4 linked regions of the Schizosaccharomyces pombe genome follow. Changing the gene in region 1 together with any one later gene gives a genetic interaction. Each region holds a gene or a part of one and is shown in the gene's direction. Other genes may lie near its edges.

Region 1 (6,993 bases):
TCTGCAGATGACAAATTTTTAAATCTTTTAAACAATACAGGCATTTTCCCATCTATATCATCAATTAAAAGCTCATTTAATACTGTCAAAGCATCCTTATCGCGCATAAATTTAACCACTTCACCTTTGAAGTAGCATTCAAAAGATTCCACAAATATTCCAGCATCTCGGATGGGAACATCAATTATGCTTTGTATGCCATTTTGTAAATAAATTCGTATTAACAAATAAGCAAACGTAAGGTTAAATAAAGCATCACCGTCGCATCCGGTAGTTTCAACATAATATAAAGTGTATAAGGAGGCATGGAATATATGCACAAATTGAGTACCTACGTCTGTCATATCAACATTTATGGGCTCTGAGGCAACTAAATCTAGAAATCCGAGAATAAAATCTTGGTCAATGAACAACTTGTTAGAGAAAAAAGGAATGCAAGAGGATATTTTTGCATCCCAAAAAGAGGCAGGAAACGTAAAGAAGTTTGAAGGGAGTTTTCCAAACGAATTGAAAACAAGAACACACTTATCAGCAGCTAACTTTTCATTTATAGAACCATTCAAAACCTTATTCAATGACCATTCCTGCACTTCTGAACATAGTTTAAGAGAAAAACCGGAATCTTCTAATGCTTTCTCTTTCAATAGGGAGAAGATACTTTCAAAATGAGCTGCAACATGGCCATCATCTTCTGGTTTACTGAAAAGGATCACAGGAAGCAAAGAATACAAGGATTTATTTTCATCAAATATTGTTGGAAGATGAGCTTTCAGAGAATGCAATGATGCGCACAAAATAATCAAATGATTATCAACCCAATCATTCGTAAGAAAATACTCCAAGGTCGTAAACAAAATATTTTTAATCGTTTCTTCTGGAACAAGGATTTCCTTAGACCCAATGCACGCTCTTATCATATCCCAATCGTTTCCTGGGTTTTGCATAATAGCAAATACTGCTGTATCATAGTATTCTACTAATGTTTTTACCAAGGAAATTTTCCCCCTTAGTTTTCCATCAGCAAACAAAGAGGGAAGACTATTTAAAACCCTAATATTTTCCAGTTCATCAAAGGACACTGTGAATTGATTAGCAACATTTTCCCAAGGCTCAGAGAGATCCGCGTAATCTTTAAGAAGTAAAAGAATATCACGAAGCAAAGTAAAGGCTGGAGATTGAGGCCCAAGCTTTAAAATCGAAGAAGGCAAATCATTCACCAAATATTTTTGAAAAAGTTCCTTAACGGGTTTAATCAATGTAGTATCACTGAATATGTGACAAACAGTTATTAACTGGGATGCCGATAAACATGCAATACGTTCATTTTTGTGGGTAGACAATTTCATTAAAAATGACAAACAAGGTCCCAGAATCGACATGACTTCATTTCCAGTTTGAAAATTTCTATTTTTAAGATATAAAACTGTTTGAACGGTTAAGCTTAAGTTACGTGATAAAGAATCAAATGGGATAGTTTCAATGTCCATAGATTCATCATTAAAGAAACCAAATAACACTTCGTTCCAGAGCGAGGCGAAATCTGAATTTTTATCGAATACACTTTGCAAGCAATGATCGAAATCAGACGTTGAACAGCGTAGAACAAATTCACCTTTAAAATACCTGGTAAATATAGTCCTTAAACGGTCACGGACATGATCCTTAATTTGAGGATCGGAAGAATCGGTATAAACAAATGACAAGAAATTGAGTAAACAGTCATAAACTTCAGTAGATAGGAAACGTTGTTCTTGATTTGCAGTTTCTAAGAATGCATCACACAATTCGTCTACACTTTCAATGGAAGGAACGAGCTGCATAGCGCCTATACTTTTAAACAAATTCAGCAAGGATGTGTAAAACCCAGAATTAGGAAGGCTGATTCGCTTGGTGATCAAATTTGAGAACAACTTTGAAAGAGGACGTTTTGAATCATTTGCAAATTGGTGAACCTCGTTGGGGAAATTAGAAATCATGTTACTAAGAAGCCTAAGCATAGGGACGCAGGTCAAACTAGTTAGTCGTGAAATCATTCGTGAAACACGTTTAAAATATTTCTCTTTATATTGGGTAACAAAAGGTTTATCATACTTCAAGATAATGAGCAATAAATCGCTCAGGCTCACTGTGACACCATCCTGAGGTGAGGAAACCAAAGACCAAAATTCGTCAGACTTGAAAAGTGTAGACAAGTTCTCGTAAAGAGATGACTTAAAGGTTTGCTTATCTATCTTCTTATCTGTCTCTAGATTTTCTAAATCGGCAGTCTGTTTGAAAAGAAAAGAAAGGGTCAGAAGACAGCTAGATTTAACTCTGGTAACTTTCGATTCAGCTTCTTCATTTGAAAAAAAACGCAAATCCGTTAACGATTCTTTGTCTTCATGTAAAAAAACATCAGTGACTATAGGTGCGATAGTAGATCCAAACTTCAGCCAAACATGGGGCCACTTTTCTTCGGAGAGTAAATTTTTAAAAGAGTCTTTTGCTGATACAGAGACTGCACGATCTGAATCAAAAAAACCCATAACCCAAGGTGTGATATAGAATTTGAGCCATGGTGCAAGTTTTTTTTGAAGCGCAGAAGATAGAACAGACATGAAGACAAAGATTTTTAACCGCACATGTCGTTCCACTTCTATAGATAGTCGAGGAAATAAAACTGCCAAAGCATTTAGAAACTGTTCATTGTCAAACTGTGATGGGTCATTCCACTGAATTAAATCTTGTAAAGCTCGACATTTCGTTACGATGTCACGCTTTTGCAAATTCTTCACAATAACAATCATTTCTGCGTCTAAACCAGACAAGTCTGGAGGCTCATATATCGTACTAAAATTTGAGCTGGACTCATCCAACGCAATTTGCAAGGATGAAAACGATCCTGACATCGATTGCATCCCGGGATTTTTACGGCTATAAAGAGATTAGCATTTCGGCACATACATAAAGAAAAAAGAATCGTTGTATTTTTAAACAAACTTCCCCAAAATATGGAAAAGTATGGATTTGTAATAACATAGGTGTTCTGCATATATCCAATGAGAAAGACCCTATTTTGTGTGCAAACCCATTTTGTTACCATCTTCTCACATCTTTACTTACCCGTATAAATCCGTAGATTTTTTTTTCATCTTTTTTTTTAGTTTACAATGCAATGGAATGCAGCGGATCAATTTGGCACAAAGAATGAAAAATTACAAAGGAAATCAGATATCAGTCTGTCCGACGTTATCATAGGTTATTGATAACGTTGTTTTAAGCAATTCATTGTGGTATGCAATGCTTTATAAACTGATACTTTAAAGCTTAACTATTTGTGATGACGGAAAAGGAATTAAGTAGCTTGCTAAACTGTATATCATGTCAGCAATACTACACTACGCTATGATACACTACGTTGCGTATCACTATATGTCACATGTTCTAATTATATATCGTACCATGTATGATACGATATGGAGATTGATCTTAATGATAATCTATTAAGATCAATATTATCTGAATACTATAAATAGAGCTACTGCTGAACCTCGTTCCTCAGTTCAGTTATGAGCTATATTAGTGATAGGTAACATTATAACCCAGTTAATACAATACCTATACTCAGTTGCTACTTATACAACCTGTGTATTGTAATATAATAGATCACAAGGAAAACTCACCGCAGTTCTACGTATCCTTAAATCAGATACCAAACTGCGTAGCTTACATATCAGATTCTTTAATTGCAATCGCAAAACTTATTTAAAGTAACTTATCAAACGGTGTCATCTACAAAATACCTTATCTAATTTAAGGATGCAGTAAAAATACGATGATTTTTATTGCGATCTGTTCAATATTGCGTTAGTTACAGAAAACGTTGGAAACTTGGTTAGTATGATGTGACTATCCAGCAAAATTTAAAGATTTTACGCAAAAGGTTTATAGAACATAATTCACTGGTATCATAGGAATCAATTACAATTTGACAAACTGCAATTCTATAGAAGTCTTCAAACTAAGACATTGAATTATTAAGATATGCAACATGTGTAAGGTTGGCAACTAACGTAAATTATTTAGCATTGTTGCGTTAATGAAGTTTTACAGCAATCTCTAACGAGAATTTAGGTTTTACGCGCACGCCGTATGAAGGAGGTAGTACACTACGAAAAGAAGGACTCCCTTTCTACCGTGTCTTGTCTTGTAAAATTAGTGGAGATGATGCAAGTATAGTGCATAATGAATATTGCTCAAGAGGTTGCTGTTTTACAATATCTTGATATTCAGCAAGAAAATCCTAATGCTCCCAACGAAGAACTCTTCAATCGAACGGCAGAAAGCAGCCTGCTTTTAGAGCCAATTGAACAAGATCAATTAAAGGATCTGGTCGAGGAATGGATGCATGATAGCAATAAATCTGATTCAAAGCTTCTCTCCAACCAAGTTTCTCAAAACGATAATGATGCTCGAAAAAATCTACGAAAAAGGCTGCGGAACGATGTCCTAAAGGATTTGGCTGAAGAGATACAGGGATGTGAAAAAAAACTGGAAAGCTTATATGAAGAGGTTGCAAAGGCAAAGGCAAAAGCTGTGGAGGATCAACTCGCACTTGAAGAAGCTGACAAGGAAGCAAAAAAAGCGAAAACTGAAGCTCCTGTAGAGGCTGCTAATAAATCTCTTCGTTCTAGAAAGAAAACACCAGAGATTGCAGCTCCTGCAAATATCGAACCCGAAGTTGCACCCACAACTAAGACTCCAAAAAAGCGCGCTGCCCTGTCTAATGAAGAAAAGCAGTCTTTGAAAAAGTTCCAAAGTGCAATGCTTCCTATGCTCGACAATATTTCTAATCACAGGTTTGGAGCACCTTTTAGTCATCCTGTAAATCGTAAAGAGGCACCAGATTACGATTCTTTAGTTTATAAACCTCAAGACTTACGAACATTGAAGAATATGATCAAAGAGGGTAACATCACGGAAGTGGATGAATTGTATCGAGAAGTTCTTCGAATCTTTGCTAATTGTAAAATGTACAATGGCAGCGATCCAGCCAACGCCATGTCCATATGGGGAGATGAATGTTTTCGCTACACAGAAGAGCTTTTCGATATTTATCGTCAGGCAAGTACCCGTTCTCAATGAGTGTTTTACATTTTAATTATATTCCTTAACATTTTTTGTTTATGCTTTGGATTCATATCATTTTTTGGCTATAATTTTGACGACTTGGGGGTACATATTTTTTAAATGGTACTATATTTTATTTTTATCAAATTTATGTTTTTTTTTATATCATAACCGTGTATTTATTTCGTATAGATTCAAATCAAGTATGAGATAATTTACAATTTAGTTTTTTGTAACTATATAACAGCTGGTAAAAAGTTTCAACTTCCATACGTTCATATAAAAAAAAAATAAAATCTTCAATAGGTAAAATTAAGCGTTCTTCAATGTTGACTCCATTCTATAGTACTAAGATCGACACCCTCCTGAACCAAATCCCATAACGGGCTCATATTCCTTAAGAAAGAAACTTGTCTACTCACATTTTCAATAGCATAATCAATTTCGGCTTCAGTTGTAAATCGGCCAATACCAAAACGAATAGAACTGTGAGCATTTTCATCACTCTGACCAATTGCACGCAAAACGTAAGACGGTTCTAGAGATGCGGATGTGCAGGCAGAACCAGAAGACAGCGCGATATTTTTCAAACCCATAAGCAACGATTCCCCTTCTACATAATTGAAAGAAATGTTGACACAACCTGGATATCTAGATTTAGGGTCGCCATTCAAAGATGTATATGGGATTGCAAGAAGGCCATCTATTAATCTTTGGGATAGTTTGGAAATATGTGCATAATCATACTTCATTTCTTCTTTGCATATACGGGCCGCAGTACCAAATCCCACTACTTGAGATGGAGCAAGAGTACCACTTCGTAAACCTCGTTCCTGACCTCCACCACTAATAAGCGGCTCTAAACGTACACGAGGACGTCTTCTAACATAAGCGGCTCCAATTCCTTTAGGGCCGTAAATTTTGTGAGCAGAAATAGACATTAAATCAATGTTCATTCGATTGACGTCAATGTCAATTTTTCCATATCCTTGAGCAGCATCTGAGTGAAAGAAAACCTTCTTCTGTCGACAAATTTTGCCAATCTCTTCTAGTGGTTGACAAACACCAATTTCATTATTGACGGCCATTACACTTACACAAACAGTATCAGGACGTATGGCGTCACGTAATTCATCCAAATTAATAAGGCCATTAGTTTGAACAGGTAGAAAAGTAACTTCAAACCCTTCTTCTTGGAGAGCACGTAAGGAATCCAAAACGCATTTGTGCTCAGTTTGAACGGAAACAAGATGCTTTTTCCTACTTTTGTAAAATCGGGCAACACCTTTCAAAATAGCATTATTTGATTCAGTTGCGCCAGATGTAAAAATAATTTCTCTTGGATCAGCATTGATTACAGATGCTATCTCTTGGCGTGCATTTTCAACAGCTTTTTCTGCTTCCCAGCCATAGGCGTGTGTTCGACTATGTGGGTTTCCATAAATTCCAGTGAAGAAGGGAAGCATACTATCTAGTACACGATAGTCGAGAGGAGAGGTAGCTTGAAAATCCATATATATAGGATGCAATCCCGTAACCGTACTAGCAGCGGTTTGTGCTTGATCCAAAGTTACTGTTTTCAAAGAATTTTCCGGTATGGGCTCTTGAACCGCCGTCATGTTTCCTAGCCCGTACATTTGTTCACGAGGTTTATTGCTCATTGAAGGTTTGTCCATACGACTGGAAGTCATAAACGACCTACCGTAAACTCCAAGACTCTGTCTAACATTATTAATATCCTGACTCTCTCGCTTGACAAAAAATAAAGCACTTCGTAGTTCAAGAAGGCATCTTGCTCTAGAAAGCATCAAACTTCCCATTTTGGACATGGTTGTTTCCAAAATAGAGGAAATTTTGCTAATTCTTTATTTATTTCCTAAACAA
Region 2 (8,891 bases), on another chromosome or scaffold:
CGGGTAAAAATTTACTTGCAACCTTATTATCGTGCACTTATTTGGCAGATTGGACTTTACTATTGATTTGACAGACCCTTCTCTAACGTGTTATAGCCGGAAAGTTCGGCTTAGGAACACTTGCCGGTAAGTATACTATTCAACATAGCAAAGCCCTAAAGAAAATCTCACTAAAACCAAGTAAAATAAAACAAGTTAAAAAAAAAATAGCTAAAGACATCGTGACAAATTGAATAATATGTTTCATGAAATTTTTGTGTCAAATGATATTGATCAAAATGTGATACCGACTAAGTCAATCTTCATTTATGTGTATATGTGTGTGTAATTTTTTTAATTTTTTTTCCTACTGACCCAATGCGCTCTTTTTCCTATTTGATGGCCGAAAATTTAATTTCACAAATTTTGCTTCCATTTTCTTGTGACTTTACCATCAGAACTAGTGAGTAACGAAATATGCTAAGTTTTGGATAGGAGGAAATTTTACTAGTACGAAAAAATCTCGACTTTCCTCCATTAGCTGAACAAAGAAATATGCTTTTCCCAATCCGTATGCGGTTGATGTAACGGAATGTGTAAGGGAAATGACTATCTTTTAATTTAAATCTATTTTACGTTTATCACACTGACTACTCGGCTATGAAGGGGAGAGAATGTAATAGCGATAAAATTTTCAAATGTATTTCAATTACTTAGAAAAGATATTCAGTATCCTTTTTCTTTTTTGAAAGCATACAAATCATAAATAAAAACTCATATTGTTCATATACTGTTTGTCACATAACCCTTCGTATTACTAATACAAACAACGATAATTCAAGCCTTAGTAATTAACCTAGCGTTGCCAAATATCAACAATACAAAGTTCCGAATTGCCCTTGTAAATACGGATCTGCAAACTGGGAATTTGAGAGAAACAGCAAAGAGCATATACAAGTTTGCCATTGGGAATACAGGTGAGCTCCGACTCGTTCTTTAAAGAAAGCTATTCAGAAAGTGATTTTGAAATCCGAAATATCTTCTCATACGTCTCTGTATAGGTCTTCCTCAGTCACATTTGGATATCAAATCATTCATCGCATCTCATCATCATTATTCCTATAGATCCCATTTTTACTTATACCACACTTTGTCCTTTCTTTATCCTTAATACATTCATCCGTGGCTGCGCAAAACCAGTCACTGCCGCTGCTGTTAGACTTCGTAAAAACGTATAAGCAACGCTGGTGAAGGAGGAAAATACTTTGGTTATTTCTAGCAAAGTCAACAATACCCAAGCCCCGCGGAATTTTATCCGGACTTCGGCATTCATCCTCTCGCCTATAGAGGAGTAATATTACGGTAAACAAGCAACCACTTGTCTCTTCCGGTCTTTAAAATCAGCAATTCTCCTTGCTTTCCCTATTTACCATCCCTACTTCACAATTCCTTGATTGCTGTTTTTTTGTAAAAATTGGGTTTATTTTTCAACAGTAATCATTCCTTTGCTTGTAAAAGCCAGGAATTTTGGCTAGTGCTTTTAGCCTGCTGAAGTTTCATCACCCGTGAACGTGTGTAATTTAATTGCCTTCATTCGATAATCAGTTTTCACATTCTTTTGCTGTAAAACGAGAACTAGAAGCAATTGAGCCTTTTATTCGTCTTTTGAAGGCTTTAACGTTTGTTTGTTGTATTTTTAGAAAGCTCGAAGGTCGTATAGCTTTCCAACATTGTAGCTTCTAATTCACTTTATGAACTGCTTTGCAATTAGAAACCGGTAGGATTTGATCAATTGGCTTTATATATAGGCGCTATATTTTCTTTCTTTTTACATTTCTTTCTATGATGACTCGGATGGAATTAAGACCATTGGAAATTGGCTTCTCTAAAGCACTCACAGAAGTAGCTCCGGTAACTTGTCAATGCGAATGTTGGGATCATAATCTTTGCAGCTCTCAAGCTAGTGAGATGGATTTAATTTATCAGTCTCAGGATACCCATTCTTGTGCATCAAAGCAAGACGCCGTTTTTCAGTTGCTGAGTGAAACCAAGATCCCTGTTCCCAATCGTTATAGAAAAATTTCACATCGCTTGAGTACTCTATCTAATAAAAAAACTCTTAAATCACAATTAGATCGTTTTTTGTCTTCGTCCAAAAAATTACACAATGATGATGTTAATAGAGGTGATTACTGCTTTCTTCTTTCTACACCTGTCGAGTGTTCTGCTTCTACCAACTCTCATTCTTACGACTGTTTGTGGAATTTTTCGTGTAATTCATTCCCTGAATACTCCTCCTACTCTGCTTCGGAAACGTCTTCAGTCGCTTCTTACTCTTACTATTCGGGGCCAAATCCTGCAACTCCCAGCTCTTCCTCTTGTAACCTCGTAAACGCAAATAGCCTTGATATTTACTTGAATATTAACAACTTAAAAAAATCCAAATCTGTTCCTCGTTTAAGAGGTCAATGTATGTTCTTTTAAGATTTTTCAACCTTTTCTCTTATCTTTTATTTATTCATCGTTGCTAACAATATCATAGTTATGGAGCCCGTAGAGCATAACCATCCACTTTCTAAAAGTCTTGAGGAGCAATCCTCTTTTTTGGAACAATCAAAGGATGCTTCCTCTAACTTGACCGCCTGCAATAGGAGTGGCTCTAGTTTATCATCTAATTTCTACTCATCTAGGTTGTCCAAAAAAACATCTTTAGCATCTTTAAATAAGTCTCGAGCTTCTTTACAGCATAAAATAATGTCGCTATCTCGTAATATCATCAGACGTGTATTTCACAAGCCAGAAGTGCATTTGGATCCAAGTGCCTCCATTTTAAATCTCTCATCTTCGCATGGCGAAAGCAACCTGACAAATGGTTTGCTTTGTCAAAATTTCAAGCTTTTTCAGGATGATTGGTTGATGGAGGATTGTGCGCCAGATGCCAATTTCACTTTGTACACCCCGCTTCAACCCTGGGAAAAGCGAAGTGTGAAACCTGAAATCAGACGTCCTCGATTAAATCCTAATTTTTTCCGAGTATTTGTTTTAGAAGCTCAAATGCGACGAGCTGGAAAGCTATCAGCAAACACTGCTGGCCGAGCCCAGTTAATTTACCTCCCAAAGCCTGCCGTTACCTTCTCCACTAGCCCTTTGCATGTTGAATTGTAAAAATTTAACGCATGACTTATATACATTTGCATTCTTCCAAGCTGGTTATATTTATTTTCATTTTTTTCTCACCCAATACTTTTTTATCCCTACTGTCTTTATGGACAATCGACTCACAATTGTTTCTTTTTGTTGTATATGATTTTTTTTTTAAAGGAAATGGGTTTCGCGATACTGGGTTGAATCCCAATTGCGGTTAATATTACATAAAATAATTCTCCCATAGTCCTAGATCCTGTCTTTGAATATGAGCAAATAAAAGAATTGAACAAATCATGAATGCTTTTCTCTCTTAGATGATATTTTGTATGCATAAGTCTAATTATATTGATTACGATAAGACTTAAAAAGTAAGCCTTTGTATCCTTTTAAGCAGTATTTGAATTTTCTTGTATCATATTTTAGGTAGAGCAAAAGATACCAGTTTGTAGAACTTTATGTGCTTCCTTACATTGGTATATTTCAGGCACATAAATATTCTTCAACTTACAATTCTAAGTATTTTGTTTATACTAAAAGGAGCTGAATAACGTTTATACAGTGCTGACATTGAAATCTATTTGCTTTCTTTGGAATATAAGCGCATGCTGAGTTACTTTCGCAGGCCAAGCCATATCCAACCACCATTTTTGTGCCAAGCTTTTATGCAAGGTTAATTCCTTGTACTGCTTGTTATGTTATAATATATCAACATCTTAACAGTTTTCATATCTTCCTTTATATTCTATTAATTGAATTTCAAACATCGTTTTATTGAGCTCATTTACATCAACCGGTTCAATGCAAACAGTAATGATGGATGACATTCAAAGCACTGATTCTATTGCTGAAAAAGATAATCACTCTAATAATGAATCTAACTTTACTTGGAAAGCGTTTCGTGAACAAGTGGAAAAGCATTTTTCTAAAATTGAAAGGCTTCACCAAGTCCTTGGAACAGATGGAGACAATTCATCATTATTTGAGTTGTTTACAACGGCAATGAATGCCCAGCTTCATGAAATGGAACAGTGCCAGAAAAAACTTGAAGATGACTGTCAGCAAAGAATTGATTCAATCAGATTTTTGGTTTCCTCATTAAAGTTAACGGATGATACTTCTAGTCTCAAAATTGAGTCTCCTTTAATTCAGTGTTTGAATCGTTTGTCAATGGTAGAAGGACAATATATGGCACAGTATGATCAAAAGTTAAGTACGATTAAAGGTATGTAATCGTCTTTAATTTAGACTTGTGTTTTAACTGATGTATAGAAATGTATCACAAATTGGAGTCATATTGTAACCGCTTAGGAAGTCCGTTCGTTTTACCTGATTTTGAGAATTCATTTTTATCTGATGTATCCGATGCTTTTACTGAATCTTTGAGAGGACGCATCAACGAAGCCGAAAAGGAGATTGATGCGAGATTAGAGGTTATTAATTCCTTTGAAGAAGAAATTTTGGGTTTGTGGTCTGAACTCGGTGTTGAGCCCGCTGATGTTCCACAATACGAACAATTGCTTGAATCCCATACTAATCGACCAAATGATGTTTATGTTACTCAAGAACTTATCGACCAACTTTGCAAGCAAAAAGAAGTTTTTTCCGCTGAAAAAGAAAAGAGAAGTGATCATTTAAAAAGTATACAATCAGAAGTTAGCAACTTGTGGAATAAGCTTCAAGTTTCTCCCAATGAACAAAGTCAATTTGGCGATTCATCAAACATTAATCAAGAAAATATTTCATTATGGGAAACTGAACTTGAAAAACTTCATCAGTTAAAAAAGGAGCATTTACCCATTTTTTTAGAAGACTGTCGTCAACAAATTCTTCAGCTTTGGGATTCTCTGTTTTATTCAGAAGAACAAAGAAAGTCCTTTACACCTATGTATGAAGACATTATTACAGAGCAGGTTCTTACGGCCCATGAAAACTATATAAAGCAACTAGAGGCCGAAGTTTCTGCTAATAAGTCCTTTTTAAGCTTAATTAATCGCTATGCCTCTTTAATAGAAGGAAAGAAAGAGCTTGAAGCTAGTTCTAATGATGCCTCTCGTCTAACACAACGGGGACGCCGGGACCCAGGTTTACTTCTACGTGAAGAGAAAATCCGTAAGCGACTTTCTAGAGAACTTCCTAAGGTTCAGTCGCTGCTTATACCAGAGATTACAGCATGGGAAGAAAGAAATGGAAGGACGTTCCTTTTTTATGATGAACCACTTCTCAAGATTTGCCAAGAGGCCACTCAACCAAAATCATTATATAGAAGTGCAAGTGCTGCCGCAAACCGCCCGAAAACAGCAACTACAACGGACTCTGTTAATAGAACACCTTCTCAACGAGGGCGTGTAGCTGTACCTTCAACACCAAGTGTTAGGTCCGCTTCTCGAGCTATGACGAGTCCAAGGACACCGCTTCCTAGAGTAAAAAACACTCAAAATCCAAGTCGTTCCATTAGTGCAGAACCGCCATCAGCAACCAGTACCGCCAATAGAAGACACCCCACTGCTAATCGAATTGATATAAACGCTAGATTAAACAGTGCTAGTCGGTCTCGAAGCGCGAACATGATAAGACAAGGGGCAAATGGTAGTGACAGCAATATGTCTTCTTCACCCGTTTCTGGAAATTCCAATACCCCTTTTAACAAGTTTCCAAATTCTGTATCTCGCAATACACATTTTGAATCCAAGTCACCGCACCCAAATTACTCTCGAACTCCTCATGAAACGTATTCAAAGGCTTCATCTAAGAACGTCCCATTAAGTCCTCCAAAGCAGCGTGTAGTTAATGAACACGCTTTAAATATTATGTCGGAAAAATTGCAAAGAACTAATCTGAAAGAACAAACACCCGAGATGGACATTGAAAACAGCTCGCAGAACCTTCCTTTTTCTCCTATGAAGATATCCCCCATAAGAGCATCACCCGTAAAGACAATTCCATCATCACCGTCCCCCACTACCAACATTTTTTCTGCTCCACTCAACAATATTACAAATTGTACACCGATGGAGGATGAATGGGGAGAAGAAGGCTTTTAAGCTTCTTATTTACCTAATCGATCAAATTTAAATATACATATTTTTGCATATGAATACAGCATATAGATAATTCATAAAAGTTTATTAACTGAGGTCATAATTAAAAGACTATTTACACCTAAAAAAAAACGTGTATCAATAGAGGGAAAAGAGAAGAATTAAGAACAGAAAGTAACCATAGTTTTGTTAAAATAGCAATGTAAAAAAATATTATGAAAAGAAAACGTATAGCACATTTTGAAATGTAAAAGAATCTGAGAGAGCGTGTGAATATCTAGCAATTACAAGAAGATGTATTATTCAAAGGCTTTGAAAGAAGCAAAGGTTCAGAGAAGTCATTAACAAAGTCATCTCTCGAGCTTTCATTTTCTAAAGCTAAACGACTGACTGTTTCGAAAAGGTCAGTAACGTTTGTATTTTCTTTTGCACTAGCTTCAAAATGAATCATATTTGATCCATGTTTGGATTTGCAATAGTCAAGAGCTCGATGAAGAGATACGGCTCGTTTAGACGCGTCTTTGTCGATTTGATTTCCAACGATAATGAAAGGGAATGCACATTCATCTTGTGAAGTTTGATATAAAAATTCTTGCCTCCAGTTTTCTACTGAGTCAAAAGACTTCGAGTTATTCACATTATAAACAATTACACAACAATCGGCCCCTCTGTAAAAAGCCATTCCCAGGCTTTGAAATCGTTCTTGACCAGCAGTATCCCAAAGCTGTTTATAATTAGCAAACGAATTTAGATGGGCGGAACTTATATTGGAACTTACCTGTAATGTGACCAATTTGTCGTCAACCACAACGTCCTTGGTTAAAAAATCAGCACCGATGGTAGCTTTATATTCGCGACTAAACTTTTGATTGACGAACTAAAATGACGATGTTAACAAATTGCCAAAGCAATACTCATAGAGAAGCTGATGTAAAGATCGTTAACCATATTTGAGCTAGTATTTAATAACAAAGTGAATAAATTTTAAAAGCAATCACCTTGTAGCGACAAATAACAACTTATCGACATAAAATCAATGGGAAATTGCAGTATTGGATTTTACAGCTCAATACAAAAACCAAAAAGAAAAATATACTGAACGTATAAAATTTAACGCTTCAATTGATAACCACTACACCATCAATGGTTGAATTCGAGGGTAATGCTTAAAAAAGCTCGTCTGTACGATACGTCGACCACATCAGCAACTCCCCTAGCATTAACATACCTGATTCATTAAACATGTTTTTCCAACGCCACTATCTCCTAATATAACAACCTTTAAAAACACCCTTTTCTGAGCCGACATTGAAGTATATTCTGTCGTACCTGGTAGTAAGAAGTTCAGCCCTTAGAATGTCCATCTGGGACAGCATTGATAGTGTCTTTCAGTTTGACACATTACAGTAAGTAGCATTACAATACTTCGTTGCATAGCGTTGTTTTAAATACGAATCTTTACCGTAAATTTTTATAACAATATTTAACGAAAACGAATAACTCACTAAGTTTTTAATAAGATACATTTGCTTTCAATAGACATTACAGTGAAGGATCTAGTTATCTGACTACTATCCTGGGAAGTCAACTAGTACTGTAAGCAAACTAATAATTTGCTTTTACATAAAGAAAATCAGTGAATTTGATTTTATATTTCACTTTGAAAGTTATTGAACATTTACTGCTTACAACAAATTTGTTGAATGATGCTACTTGCTTTTTTTTGTAGCTAATCTAATGAGAATTTATATTTGTGCATAAAGTTCCTTTCCGTAAAACGCATTGTAGATATACGATTGATAAAAATGCTATTATATTCTCTGCATCAAAAGTATCAAAGAAAAAACGATTGTATCTGGTTAGTTAGAATTATACGATACAACTTCTTTTGGGTAATTCATGCTTTAGTGATAATAGTAAACGCTCCAAACGGGATTTTACTGTTTCCTTCCCCAATAAACTAATAGTATCGCTAATACCTCCTCCAGGCAGATTTCCACATAAGCCATATCGAAGTAAAGACTGTATTTTTTTCAAAGGCATCTGATGCTCCATGGCAATTTCTTTTAAACTAATCTGTATCTCATGAGTATTCCATTCGATGGTTTCGAACTTGTTTAAAATTGTTGTTAAAATTTTTGGAAGCTCTTCTACCGTGATGAGGGAGGAAACTAAACTTCTAATTTGTTGAAGGTCAGATGCCTCATAAAAATAGAACACTATCTTCTCAAACTCCTTAATCGTGTGCACTTTATTTTTTAAAAGTAGCAAGAGTTTTTTAGTGTAACTTTTGTCATGACTTCTAGAAGAATGAGAAAACTTTTGGATCAACCTCGGCTGAACCAGTTCGATAAGCTCATCGAGTCTGTTAACATCTGATATCGCTCTCCTCAGGTAATTTTTGTTTAAAAAGTAAAGCTTTTCAAAGGCAACAATTGAGGAGCTCTTTGTTAGTTTATCGATCGAAAACAGATCGATAAGTTCTTTCATCGGGAGAAAATCACTTTTCTGACGCGAAGACCAGCCCATTAAGGCAATAAAATTAAGAATTGCTTCAGGAAGAAACCCTTCTTGAAGAAGACTAGATACATGTGCATCATTTTGTCGCTTACTGAGCTTTGACCCGTCAGGGTTGACTAAAAGTGGAAGATGAGCAAATTTGGGAGGTTTCCATCCAAATGCTTCATAAAGTTGTATATGCTTAATCGTAGATGGTACCCATTCCTC
Region 3 (7,696 bases), on another chromosome or scaffold:
GTGGGGTCATTGGCCAAGTTAAGGAAAAGGGTAACACGCTCAAAAGATCCATTTTCTTCGAAATCACGTTGGAAGAAACGGGCGGTTTCTAAATTAACACCCATTGCTGCAAACACGATGGAAAAGTTATCTTCATGACCATCGTGAACATCTTTAGTAGGACGTTTTACAAGACCGGCCTGACGACAAATTTGAGCAGCGATTTCATTGTGGGGAAGACCAGCAGCAGAAAAGATAGGAATCTTTTGACCACGAGCAATACTATTTAAACCATCAATCGAAGATATACCAGTTTGAATCATCTCCTCGGGATAAATACGGGCATAAGGATTGATAGGAGAACCATTGATATCAAGATAATCTTCAGCAAGCAAGTTGGGTCCTTTATCAATTGGTAAACCAGAACCATTGAAAACACGACCAAGCATATCTTCTGAAACAGGGATACGCATGGAATGACCAGTAAAATCAATGGTAGTTTTTCTAACATCGACTCCAGAAGTGCCTTCGAAAACTTGTACAATGGCTTTATGACCTGCAACTTCTAAGACTTGACCAGAACGAACGGAACCATCCTATTAATTAGCATTAATAAAGTAACGAAATAAGAAACAGAAGACATTAAGAAACACATCTTCCAAGATATATAATTTCTCAAGGGCACTTACCGGTAGGTTTAGATTAACAATCTCATTGTACTGAGGTCTACGAATGTTGCTATAGCAGAGTTAGCAATAATTCATCAAAGTACGGCTAAAAGGCTCAGAAAACGTACTCTAAAATTACTAGAGGACCAGTAATAGAATTTACAGTATTGTAAGAGAGTCGAGGTTTTATGGAATAATCCCTAAATTGTTAATACAGGCATTCGTAAAATTTTACACTTACTTTACAGCAGCAGCTGCATTGATATCAAAGAGCGACGCCATGTTAACGATTTTCTGGAGAACTAGAGGTTCAGGCAGAAGGATTTCCTAGTCATTTACGAATAAGGAGGTCTAAAAAGAGGCATTTTCTCGTTGTTAACATATGCAAAACTCGTTTAACATTGTCATTATTGAAACGGAGCTATGCACAATTTTTAAATAAGATATAGTATGAAAATAACGCTATTTACTAATAGTAAAATGCTATAACGAACTTCGTTAATTCGTAAAAAATTATGTAAAACCGATAGATTCCTCACGTATGAAACAAGAAAAATGAAGCAAGAGCGATATATACCAGTTGAATTTAATTTTGGTTTAAAAAATAAATAAATTTAAATATTTTTCAACACTTATAATATAGAATGAATGAATAAACATTGCAAGCGATATATAATAGCGCGTATGAAAATACGACGAAACACGGTGTTGTCATGATGGCAAATAACGAGGATTAATTAAATGTCTTAAATGCTGAATCGAATATTAGTAATATTGTTTCATTTAACAGAATTTCAGTGATGTTTTATCAATTGTTACATTAGAATGATTGTTTAACAATATCTAATTTTTTACATGCCGAATCCTTAATTCGAGTTGCTGCCAAGTTTCCTTCTCATGGTTGTTTACACTTTTCCTAAAACAGAATTGTTAAATTAGTTGGTAGCTGATAATTATTTGTTTACTAAACTAAATACCTTCATCGTCAAACCATGAGAAATCTGTCAGAGTCTTTGCAACTGACATATTTTATGGAAAATTTCTATCGCTAATTTATTTAGCATATCTGAGTAGATGAACGCGAGAATAAAAGTGCTAAAACTTTTTGAGTAAACAAATAAATAAAATTATGCAATCAGAATCTACTTAACTTTACCGACGTTATCGCGTACTTTGGCTATTTACTCGACGACAAGGCTATGCCAGCTTTGATACACTGGGACGTTACTTGCTCACGACTTTCGCCTTTGCCAAACAGCCTAGTTCTGTGTGAAACCTCAAACGGCATTGCCGTAGTCATATTATCATTCGAAAATATATAATTTAAAGGTTAATAAGAAGAATTAACGTAAACGTCGAGTCTTATATTATATTAAAAAATGTGGAACCCCAAAAAGAAGTCAGAAGCATTAGCTAAGTTTAAATCCTTTCCTTACCCTAAGCCAGGCACTTCCAATGTACTTGATTCCAAAGAAGGTGATACTAGAAGGAAGTATTTTACCAAGACGCATCTACATAGGTTATTCGTCTTTGTGGTACTGTTGCTCTGCTCAGGCTACTTTTTAAAGCATACACTCTTGACGCGTCCCAAAGAGAGTAATGTTGTTATGATATTTGTCAATAACATCGGAGGTGGCGTTTTAGATGTAAAAAGTCCCAGACAATGGGAGCTGGAGAAGATTTCAACGGAGAACAAGAAGAAATACGCTGAAAGGCACGGATATCATTTCTTTGTGAAGAGCACAGGCTTAAAGAGACGATATGCTCATGAATGGCGTGAATCTTGGGAAAAAGCAGATTATATCATGGAAGCCATGAAGAAATACCCTCATGCTGAATGGTTTTGGTGGGTCGATTTAACAACATTCATCATGGAACCTCAATATTCTCTTGAAAAGCTTATTATTAACAGACTTGACCATATTGCGACCAGGAATATTACTGATAGCATGGAGTTCAATCCAAAAAATTTCCACGAAATTCCATTTGTTGACTATAGTGAAGATATCAACTTTATTTTAGGGCAAGATTGCAACGGTTTCAGTTTGGGTTCTTTTCTGGTTCGTCGAAGTGATTGGACTAGCAGATTGATGGACTTCCTTTGGGATCCAGTAGTCTATGGGCAAAAGCACATGGATTGGCCTCACGATGAGCAAAATGCAATTGAGTACTTCTACGAGAATAATGCTTGGCTTCGAAGCGGCATGGGATTCGTTCCTCTTCGCCTTTTCAATTCATATCCTCCAGGTGCTTGTGCTGGTGAAGGTGAAAATCCTCGTTTCTTTTATAACCAAAAAGAAGGAGACTTCTTGGTAAACTTGGCAGGCTGTAATTATGGAAGGGACTGCCTAGATGAAATAAATCATTATAAGGGATTAGCGCAAAGAAAACGGGGTTGGAGGAAGTTAGTTCCGTTTCTTTAATAGAGACCTCACATATTTCCATCATTATTATTAATATTTTAAATTCATACTTTATCATTCTTTTTCCTTGCGTGTGCTAGGCTGTCAATGCGATCCTTTATCATGTGATGCACTAAACTCTCTCCTTTGCTACTTAGCAGCTTTTGCGGTCATTTAACACTGCTTAATATTTGGTGCTTTCCGTTTTTATACATTAATTTCTTCGCAAACAATTGTTTTAATAGGATTAGATGTGTATATTTTTTATGCGACATGTGATGACAGAAAAGAGAGAATGTCTGAGAACCTTGGCGTTCATTTTTTTCTTTCTTCAAAAGACAGCGTTGACGAAATTAAAATTTTCTAAAACATGCTTTTGTCAGAAACATTTAAGCCTTGAGACAATGACTATAAAGGCAAAGTCTGATGTCGTAATCAGTTTTAAATTATAGCATAACATATCTTTTATTTCAATATCAATTTCTCCCATTTTTTAATTTAATAACATTTAGTGCTGATATAACCTGCTAGTATGATAAAGTAATTCTACCTACTATAGTTTTATAATGTAGTGAGTGGTTGAGATTTCCACATATCGTCTTCTGAATAGGCATGTGGGTTCACAAATAAAGAAGTAGTTTGATAAATACAGTAACATATACTAATTGTTAATAGATGTAGTTTTTCTACAAATATAGCACCTTGATTGCAAAAGGAAATGTATAACATTTAACTTTTTCACGAACCAAAAAGTATATATATTACATTTAAGTACTTTTGTATTACAAATAAAGCTTTAGAACTTCAAATATTACCATTGTTGGCTTTGGTGTTTTAGCGTCTCCCAGTTCGTTTGCACACTATACTGGCGTCCACTTCGAAGAAAACTTCACCACTCCCAAATGGCAACTGGATTTAAATTGCCTGAGTTAGCACCCGTAAAATCAGCATGGGGACCTCCTGAAACGGAACAGATAGGAGGTGATATTCCTTATGCTCCTTTTAGTAAAGGTGACCGTCTTGGAAAAATTGCAGATTGGTCTGTTGATCAACCTAAAGATGGACGTGAACAACGTGGACGTCAAGGAGCATTTGCTGGTCGTTTCCGTGACCAATATCAAACTTATGGTTATGGCGCGTCGTCCATTTTTGGTTATCAGCATTCGGAGGACGAATCCAGTTTCTCGGTGATCGATCGTGGTTCTGTCAATCGTACACGCACTTCCGCTCGCAACGGCGGCACTTTATTGAAGGTTCGCGGTAGAGGACAAAACGTTCAACGAGGTGGTCGTGGCGGTCGCTACGGTTCTTCTGGTGGAAGAGGTGCAGGTGATACAGTGGTTTCTAGATCCTCAGGCGCTGGAGGAGCAAGAGGTCGTCGGTTTGGTTGGAAGGATTATGATAAACATCAACGTCTTCGCAACGCCAGTGTTACTGTTGGTGACGACTGGCAGCTTCTTGACGAGGTTGAGTTCAGCCATTTATCTAAGCTCAATTTAGCTGCTGCTGCTCCTGTTACTGTGGATTCATATGGTTATATTTATCCTTATGACAAATCTTTTGACAAGATTCATGTTAAATCAGAAAAACCATTACAAGCCTTGGACCGTGTTCATTACAACCCTACCACTACTGAAGACCCCGTTATCCAAAAACTCGCTCTTAATAGTGATGCTAACATTTTCATTACGGATTCCATTTTGTCTTTATTGATGTGTTCAACTCGCTCAGTGTATCCCTGGGATATTGTAATTACTCACCAAAGTGGAAAGCTATTCTTTGACAAACGTGAAGGCGGACCTTTTGATTATCTCACTGTCAATGAAAACGCATACGATTCTCCCATGGACGCTGACAACCGCGAAGGTGTTAATTCTCCTGGAGCCCTTTCTGTCGAAGCTACGTACATTAACCAAAACTTCTGCGTCCAAGCTTTACGTGAAACCGAAGAAGAGAAATATAAATTACCTCATCCCAATCCCTTCTATAATTCTAAGGAAGAAAGTGAGCCATTGGCTGCTCACGGTTATATCTATCGGGATGTTGATCTTTCTCTCGAGACAGACGAAAAGCCTGTTAAGCTAATGGTTCGTACCGAAGTTGACGGTTATGTTAAAAATCCTGCGAACGATGTTCAATACATTTCTATCAAGGCTCTTAATGAGTACGATCCCAAATTTACAAATGTTACTGGTTCTGTGGATTGGCGTTCCAAGCTCGAAAGTCAAAGAGGTGCTGTGTTTGCCACTGAAATGAAGAACAATAGTTGCAAGCTTGCCCGTTGGACTGTCGAAGCTTTATTGGCTGGTGTTGATAGCATGAAGGTTGGTTTTGTCAGTCGTTCAAATGCCCGTGACGCTCAGCACCACGGCATTTTGGGTGTTGTAGCTTATAAGCCTGCTGATTTGGCTTCCCAAATGAACTTAAGTTTGTCTAATGGTTGGGGTATTGTTCGTACTATTGCAGATGTCTGTTTGAAAATGCCTGATGGAAAATATGTCCTTGTAAAGGATCCCAACAGACCTATTTTACGCTTGTACTCTGTTCCACCCAACACTTTTGAAGAAGCTGCTGGACCCTCCCTTGAAGCTTCTTCTACTGCTTAAAAAGGACGGATGTAGAAAGTTCATTAAAAAGGTTACATGTATAATACTCAATTACATGTGCAAATCTAAGATCTTTAAATCGGTTTTATATTTTCGGTTTCTTTATTTTTTAATCTTATGAACTGTTTCTCGGTAAATTAGAAGCTAAGTGTAAAGTAATGTATTTGTTGGAATAGTAAAAATGAAGCGAAGGAAAATTAAGTGCCGTTTAATTCATTTGGAAATATCTGATTTTCGATGCTTCCAACGTGATTTTTTTCATGAACATTGCTTTTAACACACTTTAGGGTATTACGGTAAAAAAATTAGAACTCGATTAGTAGAAAACCGATATAGCTCATTGCCACTAGCCAAGAGATCGTAAAACGGTTTCAAGCTTAGTCAGAATATTGTGGTAAAACAAGAGGTAAAGCTTTTAGCAAAAATTCGTTTGAAGAGAATTTACACCGGATTACACTTATAATTTACCATACGTGGTTTACAAAAATAGCTACTAAAAGTTCACTAAGCACGTGAAATAAAGACTTTTACTAAGCATTTGCTTTAATATTGGCTTTTCTATGCAAATCCAAGAAACTGTTCCTTTAGATGCACCAGAGCATTGCCCCGGACCGTCATCTGAAAATGCAGGAACTGCATCAGCATGTGAAGGATGCCCTAATCAACAAATTTGCGCTTCAGCACCTCGTGGAGAAGATCCAGATTTACCATTGGTTGTAGAACGCTTGAAAGAAATCAAGCACAAAATTCTTGTTTTATCAGGTAAAGGAGGTGTTGGAAAGTCCACATTCTCTTCGCAATTAGCATGGGGGTTATCGCTTGAAGAAGACAAGCAGATCGGGTTAATGGACGTGGATATTTGCGGGCCTTCAATTCCGAGAATAATGGGTGTTGAAAAGGAGGAAGCCCATCAATCAAGCAAAGGCTGGTCCCCTATTTATGTATGCCCTAACTTGGCTGTTATGTCAATTGGATTTTTATTACCAAGCGAAGATTCATCTGTTATATGGAGGGGGCCCAAAAAAAACGGGCTGATCAAACAATTCATCAAAGACGTTAACTGGGAAAATTTAGACTATTTGATTGTTGATACTCCTCCGGGAACTAGCGATGAACATTTATCTTTGGTTCAATTTTTTAAAAATTCCGGAATTGATGGTGCTGTTGTAGTTACTACTCCTCAAGAGGTTGCTCTTCAAGACGTCCGTAAAGAAATAGATTTTTGCAGAAAGGCGTCCATCCCTATCCTTGGATTAGTGGAGAACATGAGCGGTTTTGTATGTCCTTCTTGCAAAGGCAAGTCTAATATATTCACTATTACTACAGGAGGAGGTGAAGCGTTAGCAAAAGAAATGGGACTACCATTCTTGGGTAAAATTCCTTTGGACCCATTGATTGCACGTTCATGTGATTTTGGAAAAAGCTTTATTGATGAATGTCCTGAATCGCCTGCTTCCGAAATTATCATTGATATTATTAACAAAATTGATGAGAGTTTACAGAAAAGGCAATGAAAAAAATATAAAAAAAGGTTGGAATCTGCTTAATTTCAATTTTTTTGTATAATATAAAATACGTTTATTCAAATATTTATTGAACCTTCTGAGTATATTCCTTGTATATCCTCATTGAGCACTTAAAGTAAACATGTAGTCATTGTGACATTTTTTGGATTAAAAAGAAATTTGAAATCCTTAGTTAATGGATATAATACAAGACAATGCTAAAGCCTGCAATTCAAATAAAAACTCGCAATCAACATAAGCACATTAGTATTCCGAGGATCTGAAGATGCATTGCCCGCGGAATAGCCGACCACCATAGTGATACCACCAAAATAAAAAATGTCAAAGATGGGATCCTCAAGCATGGGTGAACTTCAGGATGGGATAACCCAAGAAGACTCCATTGAAAAAAAGTCAAAGAATGTTGCTTCACACGGAGAAAAAAGGAAAGTGAAGCGAAAAAAAGAAGACCTAAGTATGGATGGTTCAAATGATGGAGTGAAAGATTCACCAGACTCTAATGACGACTCTCAGAG
Region 4 (7,276 bases), 1.4 Mb from region 1:
TATCAATAATGCTGTATCTTTTTTCAAGCTCAGCAGCATTTATTTTCATGGGATTTAAAAACTGCAGTAAATTAAAAAGTTCCCGAACATTATTTTGCAATGGCGTCCCGGTTAAAAGAAGCTTAAAGTCACTTTTAACCGAAGAGAGGTAATAAAAGAGGGAAGATTGATCATTTTTTAGTCGTTGTCCTTCGTCAACAATTAAAACTTTCCACTGAAATTTTCGGAGCAATGAAATTTCACGTTCAACATTTGAAGCACTTATAACGAGGACATGAGTGCTTACATGTTTTGGGTCTTTTTGATTGATTAGACGATAATCACGGACTAAACTTCTGTTTTTTTCAGAGCCCACGAGTACATTAATTTGTAGAAAGGGAGCCCATTTTTTAAGCTCTCGTTCCCAATTTGCAACAGTGGCATGAGGGACAATAACCAGTACCGGGAAGCATTTATGTCTGTAAAATAAAACACTAATGAAAGATATTACTTGTACAGTTTTACCTAAACCCATTTCATCAGCTAAAATACAAGGATGATGTGTGTACCATCGTAAATAAAGCCAGTTCAGCCCTTTCAGTTGATATGGCATTAGTGTACCACCTTTGATAAAACTTGGTTGAGAGTGCCACTCAAGATTAGTAAATGGTAAATCAATATTTATCGAAGCTGTAGGGGCTTTTTCGATCCATAGACATTCCAACAAGTCCGAATACCCTTTTAACCACGCTTTCCAGCGATTTCTATCTGTTTCTTTAGGAGGTGGTTCCCAATTTGACATATAATAAGTTAAACCACGCCAAGAAACAAAGGCGAATGTAACTTCAGAAATTGCCTTCAGTTGATGTTTTTTTGTTTTATATTTTGCCGTTCGAGCATTCTTTCCACTTCTATATTGAACATCCCAAACCTTATCGATTATTGTATACGATACTGGAATAATGGGCTTAGTTGCGTCGTATGAGGCATTCTCCAAACCATCGAAATTTTTCTTTTTAGCTAATGAAATACCGGCTAGCCATGAAGCAGAACACCAAAAACAGTGAAGGTAAGACTTACCTTTGCTTCGAACGAAATACTCTCTAGACCAAAAGCTCAAGTCCGATGTACTAACAAAATTATTTGAAAGGGTAGCTTTTGAAGGATATAAACTGTTTAGAGTTCTCCAAGCAATTATCTCTTCAATATCACAAGGATGCATAGAACATTCATTACAAACAAGTTTTTTTATAAAATGAGTAATTGTTCTCTGAATAGACAAAGGATTACTGTCCAGATAAAAAAAATATTCGACACGCCTACATCGAAAACACCGAAACCTTATAGACTTGCAGTAATTGACTAAAATTGACAGAGATTCCCTATCAGCAAGGGATGGGGGGATAACTAGATCCTGTCCAGAAGAAACGCCTGAAACAAACCCGGTATTACACAAAACGTCCTTAGAGTTTTTGGAACATAAAGGACATATAAAACCATTTTGCTGAGAGTAATTACGCGTTTCTTTATTTAAAGAAGGGAGTGGAGAACAGTCATAGTGGTATACATTTGAGCAATGATCACAGTAAACAAAATTTTTACCAGAGGAACGATGTTCACGTCCATGACATTTGACACATACACAGACGTGTAAAAATTTGATAAAATCAAATCCGTCAGAGTAAAGAAGTGAGAAATAAGGAGCTTTATTATCGTTTTCTGTGGACTCAATTTCCGAAGAACTTAGATCGGAGCTACCAAAGTCGGACGTGTCATTGAAAGATAAATGCGACAACGATAACTCATTATGCTCTTTTCTATTAACCTTCTTATTTGTATCAGATGAAGATGAAGTTGCACTGTCAGAAGCCGTTTCATCACTGACAAATGAAGGATTAAGTGCGCAGTGAAATTCCTTTCCGAACTTAAATTTCTTGGTACGTGTTGAGTCCCTTAAGACTTTACTACCATTAGACTTCAGTAAATAATCATTTTTCTCTTCCTCATCCTTATCGGTTGAAGTCATATACCCATGGTACCTCTTTCGAGATTTGTGTTTTAACCATACTCTTAAACAAGCTTTTCCATTTTTATATTTATCAAGTTCATCTTTTTTTATCAATGCTTCAACACCCGCCAAGAATTTAACACTCAGTGTGCTGTCATTTTCGTGCAGTATTTTTTGAACGGTGGTTTCAGACGCGTCATAATAAGGTAGTAAAACATCAAGCGGTTCACGACGTACTACTATTTTACATAAAGAATCATCTTCTTTTGGCATGCTTTGAGATGAATATCTAAATATTCTTGGTAAATACTGTGTATTTGGAGTTGTCCTTAAATTTCACTACGTAACGCAAAGAGAAAGAATTACCAGTAGTAAACGGTTATAAACAATAGCTATTATACAGTACATTAATAGTAACAAACAAGTTTTAATCTTTTAGATGTCATTTTAAGCACGTACAAACCTTTGATGACTTCTTTGACCCTGATGGTGGGTTTTAGTAAAATGGTTATTAGCATTCGAATGAGTACGCGCGCGTTGATGTTCATTTGTCTGAGGAAGAGATTGCTGCTGTTGTGTAAGTTGAGTGTTAGAAGAAGCTGTAGTCTGGGGAGCTGAAAAAGCTACTTGGTTTGTTAAATTTACAGCAGGCATCATAGGGACGAATGCAGCAGCATTCATAGCATTCATTCCTTTAGGAGCCATATAGGTATTTGCGGATACAATGTAGGGCGGTGGTGGACATCCTAAGTTAAAGACATTATATTTGGCTAAAATTCGGAATATTAGACTTCGTATTCAACAAAAGTATTATAAAGTAATAACTTACGAGGAAACGCATAAGCATAAGGAAGGTCTAGCGAACCATTCCCCTTTTTTAAAAATCCAGAGGATGCCCTTTCTTCAAGTTGTTTTTGGGCTTCTTCTTGAGCTACTTTCGTATAGTAGTCCTGAACATTTTGTATATGGGCTCTTCCAGCATTGTGTGCTTTTCTAACTGATTGGCTATCATGAGTGAGCCAAACTTGGCAGTAATCACACAAATCTAAGCATTAATTAGTTTTCAATTATTGTTATTCATCGTATCATACATCTTGGCATTTTAGCGTGTTTGGCTGTTGTTGAGTCTTGTAATAAATGTGAGCTGTGTTGAAACGCTAAAATGATTTAAAAAGAAATTAATGTCAATTAGCAACAACTATACAAAGAACGTTCATAGTTAAACATTGAATGTTAAATTACTGTTTATCTATGCTTTACAAAGTGTTGAAACGAAGCTCTCGAATTTTCAACTACTTTAAAATCCAACGCCTTGAAGAGTCGGGAAGGTGCAATCATTTAATATTTTAATATAATTAAGTTACTGCTGTACTTTCAATATCTCTTCACGATCAGGGCTTTTAAGTACCAGACATTCTTGGTTATGCATTAAGTGTTGCATTTGAGAGAACAATTGTAATTTGGAGTATAAGTTATTTATTGAATTTCATTTATTGTCATGCTCATTTCAATGAAATAAACTTCTCATGAGAAAGCCAGATATAATCCATGTAAGGTGAATACTCACACCTTAACCAAAAATTTTTTGCCTTTACTGAAACTATTAAATTTCCATTTGATAGTTAAATACTTGAAGTGTTTTATGTTTTATTTGCTTTTAAACTGTTAAATTGATTGGGAATATTGTGAAGTAAACTACTGGCCGGCTGTTAAGTGTTAAAGAAAACTGTGCTTGCCATTATTACATTGCTTGTCAATATATGGACATGACTGTTTCAAACCAAAAAGCAGAAAGTGATGATGGTTCAGACATCGACGATGCGGCCTTGTTACAAAAAATTAATTCTTTACCGATTGACCAGAGTATCACAAATTCGGTGAGCTTGGAAAAGCATGATTTTCAAGGAAGTGATGACCATGACTCCTCTACGGATCTTTCCGATAGTACTTTGGAAGATGTGGAAGGAAGTGAATGGGCAGACGTATGGATTGAAAAGTTTTTTTTTAATACTTTTTACTAATAAAATTTAGGTGAGCAGGGGTAGATACTTCGGGTCAGATCCCTCAGAAAGTATAGTTTGCCATAATTGTAAAGGGAATGGTCACATATCTAAAGATTGTCCTCATGTTCTGGTATGCATTTTGATCGGACATTGTTTTTTTAATAGTGTTACTAACTGTATTACAGTGTACGACTTGTGGAGCAATTGATGATCATATTTCCGTAAGATGCCCCTGGACTAAGAAGTGCATGAATTGTGGACTACTGGGTCATATAGCTGCGCGATGTTCGGAGCCGCGAAAAAGAGGACCTAGAGTTTGTCGGACTTGTCATACCGATACTCATACTAGTTCGACGTGTCCTTTAATTTGGAGGTATTATGTCGAAAAAGAACATCCTGTTCGCATTGATGTTTCTGAGGTTCGAAAGTTTTGTTATAATTGTGCATCTGATGAACATTTTGGAGACGACTGTACTCTTCCATCTAGATCAAATTATCCTGAAAGCACTGCATTTTGTGAAGCGAACTGTCCTTCTGGAAATGATGCATCTAACAAGGAGTTTTTTGAAACCCGTCGTAAAGAGTTTCAATTGGAGAGGCGAGAGCAGAATCGAAATCAAAAATCGTCGAAACAACGGCCTTTTCACAAACCAGGAAATTCTCTAGCATCTAGGCTGGGATCTAAGCCAAAAAGCTTTAAAAGAAAACATAGCCCACCTTCTGAGGAGAATGGCAATTTATCCTTTCATTCTTCAGATGGAAGAAAATTTACCAAAACTTCAAAAAAAAATCGTAAACGAAAATGGTAATTCATGTGCTGGTATTATTCATCGCATGGTGTATCGCTCTGCTCACATTGCATTGCACTCATTGATAATACTATCTTACTAAAATTTATTGGCAAAATCTAAAATATATGTACATTAATTTTATACACTCTCATTTGCTATGTTCGCAAAATTTGTAATGTTATTGACCTCCATCATCAAAATTAAATACAAGCTATGATAACGGAGTAAACCATAGTTAGAAAGCAAAACAAAAAAAAACAACCAAAATCGAAGATAACAAGGCAAAACAAACAAATTTGCTTTAGGGTAAATAATGACAAACCGCCCACCAGAGTCTAAAAGAATGTGACACGATAATTAACGCAAGTTTAAATAAGTGTTACATCTGACTCTTACAAAATAGCTGTTTTTAAATTAATCAAAAAAATTTATGAAAGGCTTTCATGCAAAATAAATTGGTGAAGAGCCTTACCACCAGGGACAAATGGATACACATGTTCCTTTTGGGCAACCAAAACTTCCATAAGCACAGGACCTTTAGTTGACAAAAACTCCTTCATTTTTTTAGCCAAATCTTCTCTCTTTTCTACACGTAGTGCTTTGATGCCCATAGCGTCAGCCAACTTAACGAAGTTGGGATTCTTTTGATGAGTATGAGAATAGCGTTTCTCATAAAACAAGTTTTGCCATTGAGTGACCATGCCTTGCTCTTCATTATTTAGGATAAGAATTTTAACTGGGATATCAAATTGACGGACGGTAGCAAGTTCCATACCAGTCATTGAAAATGAAGCATCACCATCAATATCTATAACAATATCTTTAGGTGCAGCAACGCTAGCACCTATGGCAGCTGGGAGACCAAATCCCATAGTACCGAGACCACCGGAGGTTACCAAAGAACTAGGTTTTGTCCAACGATAGAATGTAGCGGCCCACATTTGATGTGCACCGACACCGGTGGTAATAGTGACTTTGTCCTTTATGTCAGAAGTTTGTTTGTCAAGTTCTTGAATGACTTCTTGAGGCTTTACCAATTCACCAGGAGCGCTACGAGTGAAAGTGAAAGGGAAGCGTTCCTTCCATGTTTGAATTTGAGATAACCAGTCAAATCGGGAAGGAATTTTAATATTTTTAGTAGCAGAATCTAAAAGCTTTAGAGATTCGTATACATCGCCCTCTATTGCTTCAGTAGGTTGTACGACCTTACCGATATTTTTGGGTGAAATATCAAAGTGAATAATACCGCCACGCTCTTCGGCAGCAGCAAGACGTGCTTGAGGAGCAAACAAACTTACGTTACCGGTGACACGGTCGTCAAAGCGAACACCAAGAGCAAGGATAAGATCGGCTTCCTGCATGGCCATATTAGCGTATCCACTACCATGCATACCGAGCATATGCAAACTAAGGTCAGAACGTTCATCTACAGCACCAAGTCCAAGCAAAGAAGTAGTAACAGGAATTTGCAGCCTTTCGCTAAACTTGCGTAACAAAGTGGGGCATTCGGGATTAGCTAAAACACCATGCCCACAGAAAATCACAGGCTTCTTGGCTAATTTTAGTAAATTGGCAACACGATCGATCTTGGCAGTAACGTTCTTGGAGCCCTCTTCTAAGACTTCCTTCATTCTGCGATTCATTGATGGTACAGAAGACAGTATAGGAATGGGCTCCTTCAAAACGCTAGCAGTGACATCTTTGGGAAGGTCAACCAATACAGGGCCAGGGCGTCCAGAAGTAGCTATCTCAAAAGCTTCGTCTATACGACGGGGAAGATCAGCAACATCTTTGACCATTACATTCCATTTAGTACATGAACGAGAAATACCAACCATGTCAGCTTCTTGAAATGCATCACTACCAATTGCGCTGGTTGCTACTTGACCAGAGAATACAACTAGGGGAGTACCGTCGGCCAATGCATCAGCAATCGGGGTAATCACATTCGTAGCACCGGGTCCAGAAGTAACCAATACAACGCCGGGTTTTTTAGTAACGCGGGAATAAGCTTGGGCTGCATGTCCAGCAGCTTGCTCGTGTCTTGGCAAGATAAATTCAAAATGAGGAGATCTATAAATTGCATCGAAGACAGGCAAGATAGCACCACCTGGATAACCAAATACATGCTTAACATTATGCTTGAGCATCATATCATGGAAAATTTCACCCCCAGTCTTTCCAACAAACGAGCTGTCATATTTTATAGGACTAGCCGTAGTCACTGTAGAGGTGCTTTTGGTCGAATTTGCCCGAACGACACCGAATGCATTTTTTAATTTTTTAATTCTCAAATTATTACTAAAGCCGGTGCCATACCTCCGCACAGCTGAGCAACTATTTAAATTTAAAAATCTCTTTTGAAGGGCAATTTCTCGTCCATAAGACGAGAAAGCCGCCCTCGTATGCAATCTTCTAAGGGGAGCCAGCACAGTCATTATAAATAACTTTTAACCCTCAATTCCTTTCTAGAAAGAGCTATCTTTCAAGTTGCA

Evidence for each region.
Region 2: mutations in bdc1 (region 1) and ase1 together harm fitness more than expected from each alone (negative genetic interaction), as found in Schizosaccharomyces pombe (2 studies listed by BioGRID).
Region 3: mutations in bdc1 (region 1) and gmh5 together harm fitness more than expected from each alone (negative genetic interaction), as found in Schizosaccharomyces pombe (2 studies listed by BioGRID).
Region 4: mutations in bdc1 (region 1) and air1 together harm fitness more than expected from each alone (negative genetic interaction), as found in Schizosaccharomyces pombe (2 studies listed by BioGRID).

What each region holds. Positions count from the first base shown.
Region 1 is NC_003423.3:2,422,705-2,429,697, reverse strand, and holds bdc1 (bromodomain-containing protein 1), read left to right. Parts: upstream 1-4,173; 5' UTR 4,174-4,224; coding exon 4,225-5,124; 3' UTR 5,125-5,283; downstream 5,284-6,993. Other genes in the region: rkr1 (ubiquitin-protein ligase E3), read right to left, coding at 1-2,913, 3,103-3,131; cysteine desulfurase Nfs1, read right to left, coding at 5,433-6,938.
Region 2 is NC_003424.3:1,874,438-1,883,328, forward strand, and holds ase1 (antiparallel microtubule cross-linking factor Ase1), read left to right. Parts: upstream 1-3,751; 5' UTR 3,752-3,924; coding exon 3,925-4,348; exon of another isoform or gene 4,349-4,395; coding exon 4,396-6,167; 3' UTR 6,168-6,289; downstream 6,290-8,891. Other genes in the region: SPOM_SPAPB1A10.08 (uncharacterized protein), read left to right, coding at 1,822-2,449, 2,522-3,144; GTPase Ypt71, read right to left, coding at 6,442-6,888, 6,943-7,041, 7,393-7,473; glutamyl--tRNA (Glu) ligase Mse1, read right to left, coding at 8,034-8,891. UniProt on the Schizosaccharomyces pombe protein: Required for anaphase spindle elongation and microtubule bundling in both interphase and mitosis. Has a role in spatial and temporal regulation of septation and cytokinesis and ensures equal partition of segregating sister chromatids.
Region 3 is NC_003424.3:4,547,900-4,555,595, forward strand, and holds gmh5 (alpha-1,2-galactosyltransferase), read left to right. Parts: upstream 1-1,890; 5' UTR 1,891-2,026; coding exon 2,027-3,070; 3' UTR 3,071-3,343; downstream 3,344-7,696. Other genes in the region: vma2 (V-type ATPase V1 subunit B), read right to left, coding at 1-575, 669-717, 776-847, 889-929; moe1 (translation initiation factor eIF3d), read left to right, coding at 3,952-5,655; Fe-sulfur cluster assembly ATPase Nbp35, read left to right, coding at 6,216-7,169; rex1 (putative ribonuclease H70), read left to right, coding at 7,524-7,696.
Region 4 is NC_003423.3:977,052-984,327, reverse strand, and holds air1 (TRAMP complex zinc knuckle subunit Air1), read left to right. Parts: upstream 1-3,559; 5' UTR 3,560-3,747; coding exon 3,748-3,969; intron 3,970-4,018; coding exon 4,019-4,120; intron 4,121-4,175; coding exon 4,176-4,799; 3' UTR 4,800-4,970; downstream 4,971-7,276. Other genes in the region: SHREC complex ATP-dependent chromatin remodeller Mit1, read right to left, coding at 1-2,260; U1 snRNP-associated protein Usp103, read right to left, coding at 2,435-2,757, 2,817-3,032, 3,079-3,088; ilv1 (acetolactate synthase catalytic subunit), read right to left, coding at 5,210-7,219. UniProt on the Schizosaccharomyces pombe protein: Component of the TRAMP (TRF4) and TRAMP5 complexes which have a poly(A) RNA polymerase activity and are involved in a post-transcriptional quality control mechanism limiting inappropriate expression of genetic information.